2 linked regions of the Lepisosteus oculatus genome follow. The protein of the gene in region 1 binds, or shares a complex with, the protein of each later gene. Links are inferred from orthologs where the notes say so. Each region holds a gene or a part of one and is shown on either strand. Other genes may lie near its edges. The genes, in order: grb14 and insrb.

Region 1 (3,924 bases):
AACATGTCATTATATCCTTTAGGGAGAATGCGCATTCAGAAAAGATTTAACCCACTTTCTAACATATGACTAGTAAGTAAGTTATACGATGGAAAATGTTATCTCTGTAATTTTAGACACACTGTACTGTATATACAGTAATGTAATAATGTTAACAAAGTACTTTTAAATCATTCATGTTTCTGACCTGATAAATAAACCCTTAGTTTCATATTGGTCCCATTAGAGAAAGGTGATAGTGCCTTCTCCTGCTAAACACCTAGTCTGTGGAATACTCTTTTCTGTGAAATCAGGAATTCTGAATCTGTCTTAAGATTTTCTTGTTCAAAGTGGCATTCTTAAAGAATTTATGATGCATAGGTTCCATTGTACTGTATAATTATCTTTTCTGATTCCTTTTGTTTATACAGTAGTTGGATTTTTTTTCTGATGTACATTATCTTGTACACATATGTTCTGAGGCTTTTTTGCCTCATAAATTGAAATATAAAGAAAATAAAACAGAACTAATAAAAACAACAATAATTACTGTACCTTGCAACACCATCAACCTTTCCTGAAAATATTGACTGTAAAATCAAATGTAAGGACGTAAAGTAGATTTCAAGAACCTTTCCTTTGGAAATTGACTCATAAATCATTTTACTAGATAAAGTTGATTGAATAAAACACACTATACTTTTTACAAAACGTCTCCTAAATCAAATAGCTTTTGAAAAGCAATCTTTGTGGTATCTTTCTTTAGTTTTCAAATAAAACATGAATACAAAAATACCAAACAGACAAAGCTAGAAATAATTCAAGCTACCTATATAAATGGTATACGCCTGTTGGGTTGTTGATACTGCTTAATGTATACAAAGATTTGCACAATTCTATATGATGGGATATTTAGTGTCATCCATGTTATCTGCAAGTACTCTGACTAAGAACAGCGGATCTGAAAGAATAAAGGGTTAATTTCTGCTGCCACATCAGTATGTTAACAGACCTTCCAGTCTTCTACCCAGAGTAATTAATGATGCAAAATCAGACATGAACAAATAATATGATCATATAATAAGGCTTTTATTTCAAAATGATAATAAAACTTGATAAGATTCTGTTTAGCTAATCAGTCCTGTATTAGTTTCATTTTAGAGAGGATTGTAGTTTTAAACACCACCTTATTTACAGTTAGTAACAAGAACACAGCTGTGTCCATGAGAATGAAGTTGAGATTGACAGAGCACAACTGCATTACTGACAGAATACAGTAAGAATGTTTTTAATAGCATTGTATGTGGGAAAGTTACACCTGCCCTAATAAAAGCTACTTGATATTTTTGGCAAGAAAATAAATGCATAAAAGCTGAACATAACTTGTATATTTTAAAGTTGATCAATATTTTAAGCATGCCAAAAGTAGTGCCACAATGAGATAACTTCACTGCTCCGTAAATACAAATGTTACTAAGTAACTAATTATATTCAGGAAAGTAACAGGTGGTAGAATTCAATAAGATTCTTTGTTTGTGCTGTCAAAATGTACGAAATGGACTTACTAACCTCTTTATTCTTTAATCTACATTATTTGCCACTTGTATTTACAAGTACAAATTCTATTGCCTATTCTACTGAGAACACAATAAAGTTAGTATCCTGCTATTAGAGTGCACATTAAAAGCACTCACTGATCACAGAAGTTAAAAATTAGCTTGCCTTTTAAAAGGTTGCATGCTGAAAACTGTAAAAAATGTATCTTATTCTGCAAGAGCACAATTCAAAACCAATGCAAGCGATACAGAAAAAAAAAATCTATGATTATACATTTATATTAAACCAGTCATACCTAATCCCCTTGAAAAGAGCTGCCTTATTTTGTAGAGCATTTGATGGTGGTAAGGGTGCACGCAGAGGTATCAACGATGGGCTGGAAAAACGACTTGCATTACTCCTGTCATGTTGAAAAATAGCTGTTTTTTCTCCCAGGTTTCCAGAAGTTTGTAAGTCTTCTACTGTATTACTCATATCACTCATGGAGATGGCTATATCCAAGGCATCGTTTAAACGAGAAAGAGCAGAATTCCTATTGACGCAAAGTATCTACAGAGCACTCTGTTAACACATTGGGCTCCTCTGCCCTCTGCACGCAGCTTAACCTCAGCGCTTCATATGCTGCTAGCCTGCAACAGCACGATAAATGATCCCTCCTACCAAAACATGATCCACCACAATAAAGTTATTTTTAAAGTGATGACTCCTAAGTCGGTCTTCGTTGCATTTACACAGTAGCACATTAAATTCCAAAAATTTGTTTTGTCATTGCAGTCTTGGCTGACTTCTTTTTTTTTTTCTTCAAACACTACCTGAAGTAAATGCTGCACAAAGCAACTTATACAAAAGGTTCTTCATTGCCGGTATGCAACTTAGTCTTGTAATGAGATCTGGCACACTTCCAGACTGTAAACCAACTGTTTCTTTGTCATGGACTTTGCACTGAGTTCCTAATTGTACTTTAAACTCAGCACTATTCGGAAACTATATTCAAGCACAGAGTTTAAAATCCAGCTATTTTTCATACGTGTGCATATATATAGTATTTGAAAATGTGATTTTACATTAAAGTAAGCATTCTAATGAAGTCAGCTTTTTTTCAAGTAGGGCTGAACTGAACCAGTTTTTGACTATTAAGTCAAAGACTGTCATAAATTACATACAGATGAGATTTTCAATTTCTGGTTTTAAAACATTTATCTGTTCTGCAGAAATTTCAATAAGCCTTGAAGTTCTTCTGGCAACAGTGCAATAATGGAAAACGCTGTCTTCATTGTTAGTGATTAAACACAAATCATAATTTAGGTATAATTGACTAAATAACTCTGAAGATAATGTAATTCTTCCAAAGCTATTTTATATCAATCTCCATGTAAACATGGATTTTTTACATACAAATGTACAGTAAATATGCAGAGATATGCATGGACAATAGCAATACATAACACAGGTCAGTGAGATCACTGGAATCCTTCAGGCATTGTGTAGTGTGCTCCTGGTGAGCAATATTGCTAGCACACTTGCCACTATAGTGTCATCTGTGTACTGTCATTGACCATAGGAAAGCTCTCCCCATTTGGTGTATTTGAAATTACACTGCTCCTTGAAGCAGTTTTCACTACAGTTGTTTAAAGAGTCCAGTAAGGTTATAATCCACCTTATTTTACAACATGGTTTGACCACTCTTTTTTAAAGAATATGAAATATACACACTATATTCCAGTTTATTACAAGAGTATATTATAGATTTCTTAATCACATAAAAAATGAACTAATTTGACTTTAATCTTCCTGTTCAGAAAAGCTGTTGTGGTTTTAATATAACCAAAATGTTCTTCTTAATTTAATCCACACTTTACTTTAATCAAATGTATACATACATCTGTAAGAGTGTTGCACTTTGGTGATGTCAGAAGACAAGTGTCTTTCTGGAATTCCTAAGTTATGAATATTCATTTATCTCTTATTGATACAGGTATACCAAGGTTACAAAAAAAGTGTTTTAAATAAAAAAACCATCCCCTCTTGTCATTCAACTTGATCACTTCAAAATGTGTCTTTTCTACACATTGCTCTAATTTCTCAGGACAAAATCAGATTAGAACATAAGAAGAGTTAAAACAATGAAAGGCCATTTGATCCAAGTACCTCATCCAACCATTTCTTGAGAGAAGCCTGGGTATTGGTTTCAACAATACAGCTGGGTAAAGTATTCCATAATCTCTCAGCCCTCCGAATAAAGAAGAGCCTCCTGTTCTCAGGTTTAAATTCACTTCCACATAGTTTCCACTTGTGTCTCATGATTCATGCTCCACTGTTCATGCTGAGGAAGGCTGCAGGACTCACTTAATCAATGCCCCTGGGGATTTTGAAATGCCATTGAGATTC
Region 2 (3,924 bases), on another chromosome or scaffold:
CCTATCTCATTTAGTGTTCACTTTGTGTGTGTTTTCATCTGCAGGTCTGAGCCCCTCTCCTGCTGACCCGAGTGTGCCCAGCAATATGGAGTTCAGTCCCGAGAACAGAGCTGCCTTACTCCTGTTGCAGCACATAGACTAGTGTTGGCACTATGGGACTGACAACCGAAATATAGGTTTGGAAGTAGTTCAGGTGGGGAGCTGCGTCAGCTTGCGTGGTCTGCAAAGGAATCAGTAATAGGTTTATTCCATGCTGAAAAGAGAAGAGAGAGCACACAACGTTTCGCCTACAAAGCCTTCACAGCCGAAACGTTGTGTTTTCTCTCTTCCCTTTTCAGCATGGAATAGATCTATTGCTTGTTCTTTTATAGGTGTTAAAGCAGAGAATCAACACACACACACATATATATTACTTTCAGCCACAGAAATAAGAAACAACAACTAACTATCTAGCGTATGGCCAATTACCTTTGCTAAATCTATGCAAACTGGGCGCTAGAATGAGTATAGGATGTTTGGAACCCAATATCCTGCCCAAAGATGAGACGGGTCCGTTTCCGTTTTGTTTTTCAAGTGGGGCAGCCGTTCAACACACCACGAAAGTCGAGCAATTACCGGGGGGTTATGCTAATGAAACAGCATGCGTTCAGGTTGCACTGATGCACTGATGTCATTCCCCGGCGGTTCCACCCCCCTGAACATACTAAACATACACCCCCTCACCCCCCCCCCCCCCCCAACTCCCACTCGTTTCTGCTGACTCCAGGTCGTATTTTTTTTTTAGGCTGTCAAATCCAGTCCGTAGTTTGCGCCGTGCCTTGCGCCAGCTGACTGGCAGCTCTTGTTTACTGGCAGGGAGATACTGAGAGACTGAAAAAGGGGGAACTTTAGCGGAGAGAGAGAGAGGACGAGCGGTACTGCAGATTCGGGGGGGAAAAGAGAAGTTTTTTAGCTTTTTTTTCCGCAGATTCGCTTGCTGTCGACGCGTGTTTACCTTGCTGTCGCGCTTTTCGCCGTCGTCCGAAAATCTTTTCTACAGCCTGCTTTCCAAAAAAAAAAACCACGAAAGGTAAAATAACCTGTCCGGGCTCAGATTAGCCCAAAAAGACGAAGACGAAGAAGCAGAAGCAGAAGAAGAGAAAAAAACCAGTGCGGGGAGTTTTGCACACTCCAGAAGCACCGTGCGTTGTGTTTTTTTTTTTTATTTGTACTGTTAAGTAACTATCATACATTTCCATTGTTTGGGACGTGTTTTTTTTTAAGACTCTTTGGGAAACTCGCCAAAGAGTTGAAAAGGAAGCTGAGCGAGGAAGGACGTTTTTACCGAAAGGGAAAAGCAATTTTTTTCGGATTATTTCCTGCGGAGTTCCTGTGATGTTTATTTTTCTATTGGACGTTGTAACACTATTTTCCTGTGATACGGAAAGGGCAGGGAAGGAGAGGGAGGTTCGGGAGGAAATAATCGTGTATAAAACACAGTGAAACCGGGGATTAAAAACTAAACGTTTTTTTTTAATTTTCATGTCAACAGTGCGAGAGGAGGAGAATACCACGCTTTATAAAAGGACAGAAAAATAAAAGAAGATCTTTGTATTTGCAAGTCAAAATAAACAGTTGCATCTTGCAGAAAAGCAACAGCTAATCCAGGAATTTTCTTTTTTTAACCTTTTGAAGGAAACCCCAGCTTTTATGTGGGTATGAGCGACTCGCTACCCCTTAGGGTACCTCCTTATTAAAGCGGTTTGCTGGTGGGAATTATTTTCTCGACTGAAGGAGGATTTTGTCAAACAAACTTTACCCGATGAAAGTGGACGACTTGTATCACTTGATTTAAAATGAAGCTCTGGGTTCGCCAAAGTGCTGTCAGAACCCAAGACCACATTATTTGATGCAAATCTAACCTGGCGAAGTAGTAAAACAACAAAAAAAGTTAATACATATTTTGAGTATTAAAACGCGTTTAAATATTCCCTCACCCCCCTTTTTGGGGGTGGTGTGGTTTTGTTTTTTTGTTTTTTTGTTTTTGTTGTGTATGAAAACGGCTTTCAAGCAAGAATCTCTGATTTTATAAACGATTAAAGGAAAAAGTTTTACTCAATTTTTGGATTTTTTCCCCTTTTAATCTGGCATTTTTTGGTGGATTTAAGGACATCACTGGGGTCAGAATGCGGTTGGACACCCCGGTGGTTGCTTTCGTTACTTTTATCTGCGTTTTAAGCAATTGCGGGATATCGGATGGAGAAAGTAAGTAAATCAAAGCTTTATTTTCCATTTAAGGATGGCGTTGGAACTCTTTCGCTGCGACAGTGTACAAATGTGCTATTTATATCATAAATCAGTTAAATCGTTAGAGGGTTTTTTATAGGCCTCGTGTTTTGTGGAACTGCTCAGATTGTAAGAAATGCAAAATGTATATATTGTTTACACCTAATTTGAGTATTTACGTAACGTTTTAAAACGCGGTTTTTGGTGGGAGAACATTTCCCAATACCATTTTCTTACGGCGGAATAAGTCAAATTTTAAGTGTTTTTTTTTGTAACATTTTTAGTTTTTAAATATTTTTTTTAGAGAATTATTATTATACGATTATATTTTGAGGCCTGCTTGCGCATACATGAGCCCGAAGGCTAGATTAGCCTTTGTCGCGGGAAGAGGGTGGGATATAGACAGCGATTCTAAACTTAAAGGTCCGGGACTCGTCTGTCCGCCTAGGCCTGTGTTCACGTTGAACTAATAATGCAACAAATGAGATTCAGAAGTCCAGTGTTTTGTAGGATTACATGTGACCCGGGCATACACAAGATGTGGTGCGTGCTTATTTTTTTTTCTGAGCATTGTAGGAAAGCAAATAGTTTGTCGTGTTTTTATTATGGCATTTTAATGTATATTATATAGAAAACTGCGCAGAAAATGTAAAAGAGACCACCATTTTCAGTTGGTAATCTTAACCCTTTTCCCCTGTTGGTCAGGGTATAAGCCATATAAGTCTATATAAGGCACAGATTTGACCGAAGATTACCGTCATAAAATAATTAGCTCACACGCACACACTAAGTTTTGAAGAACCGCGTTCATTTTGTTTATGCATTTCATCCACTCCCGACACCCTGCTGATACACTGCACTTTGACACAAAGTACTCTGTGCGGGGGCTTAGTGTATCTCTGGGCAGTTGGTGTGGGTCATGACAGTTTCTACACTAAATTTTCATCTGCTTTTCCGACTTATTTGATATGCAAAGCAAGAGGTCGATGTATGCAGTAAGCGATTCTAGATAAATATCTTGATAAATGCATGCACGCACAAATAGGATACTTAAAGATTTTGGTAGCCTAGAACATCACGACATTATGTTCCGCTGTTCAAACAGAAAAACAAAATCTTGTACACACCGATTTCATAACCTATACTGTTCTGTCGGTCACAACCCAAAAACAGTGGAAGACTAATGCTGACTTTTCCGTCGTGTGAAGTACCCATCCTATCTAGATGTGAACGGATGAAAATGTATACAAAAAAATCACAGCAAATGAATTTCCCCCAACGTTTTTATTGAAGCTGGATTTATTTTAAAACCATAGAGAGTAAAAGTCAGCTTTTGTGCAACTTCAGGTGAATGCAAAAGTCTTTTTAAAACGTTTCATTAAATGATTCAACAAGTATTGAGGGGAGAAAAAATTAACAGGTGTCTGGTTCTCGTTTAAAAATAACCAGCTTTTAAAAGAGGAGTCGGCAAAGCAGCCAACCCTAAAGATAACTTTATAATAAAAACTTTGAACTAAAGATCGATTACTACCCCGTGTTCCAAATTGGCAATAATAGAAGTATACGTGTCTGGAGATGTTTTCATGTTTGTGCATCATTAATCGATATTGTGTCAAGATTATCACTCAAAACGAGCGTTGTTAGAATAGAAACCAGCTA

Evidence for each region.
Region 2: the proteins of grb14 (region 1) and insrb are in contact, whole or in part, in a crystal structure (PDB 2AUH), measured with the Homo sapiens proteins. The link is inferred for Lepisosteus oculatus from reciprocal best matches to the Homo sapiens genes GRB14 and INSR. Residues at the interface, in NP_004481.2 of Homo sapiens: Glu373, Asn374, Ser375, Leu376, Val377, Ala378, Met379, Asp380, Phe381, Ser382, Ser386, Val388, Ile389, Glu394, Val398, Ala399, Glu401, Glu402, Gly403, Leu404, Trp406, Arg407; in NP_000199.2 of Homo sapiens: Leu1065, Arg1066, Ile1069, Glu1070, Lys1112, Arg1116, Arg1163, Met1180, Arg1182, Tyr1190, Lys1192, Gly1193, Gly1194, Lys1195, Gly1196, Leu1197, Leu1198, Pro1199, Val1200, Trp1202, Ser1207, Leu1208, Lys1209, Asp1210, Gly1211, Gln1235, Asn1242, Glu1243, Leu1246.

What each region holds. Positions count from the first base shown.
Region 1 is NC_090707.1:14,976,108-14,980,031, forward strand, and holds the start of grb14 (growth factor receptor-bound protein 14), read right to left. Parts: upstream 2,370-3,924; 5' UTR 2,020-2,369; coding exon 1,832-2,019; intron 1-1,831. UniProt on the Homo sapiens protein: Adapter protein which modulates coupling of cell surface receptor kinases with specific signaling pathways. Binds to, and suppresses signals from, the activated insulin receptor (INSR). Potent inhibitor of insulin-stimulated MAPK3 phosphorylation.
Region 2 is NC_090724.1:6,046,601-6,050,524, forward strand, and holds the start of insrb (insulin receptor b), read left to right. Parts: upstream 1-860; 5' UTR 861-2,165; coding exon 2,166-2,244; intron 2,245-3,924. UniProt on the Homo sapiens protein: Receptor tyrosine kinase which mediates the pleiotropic actions of insulin.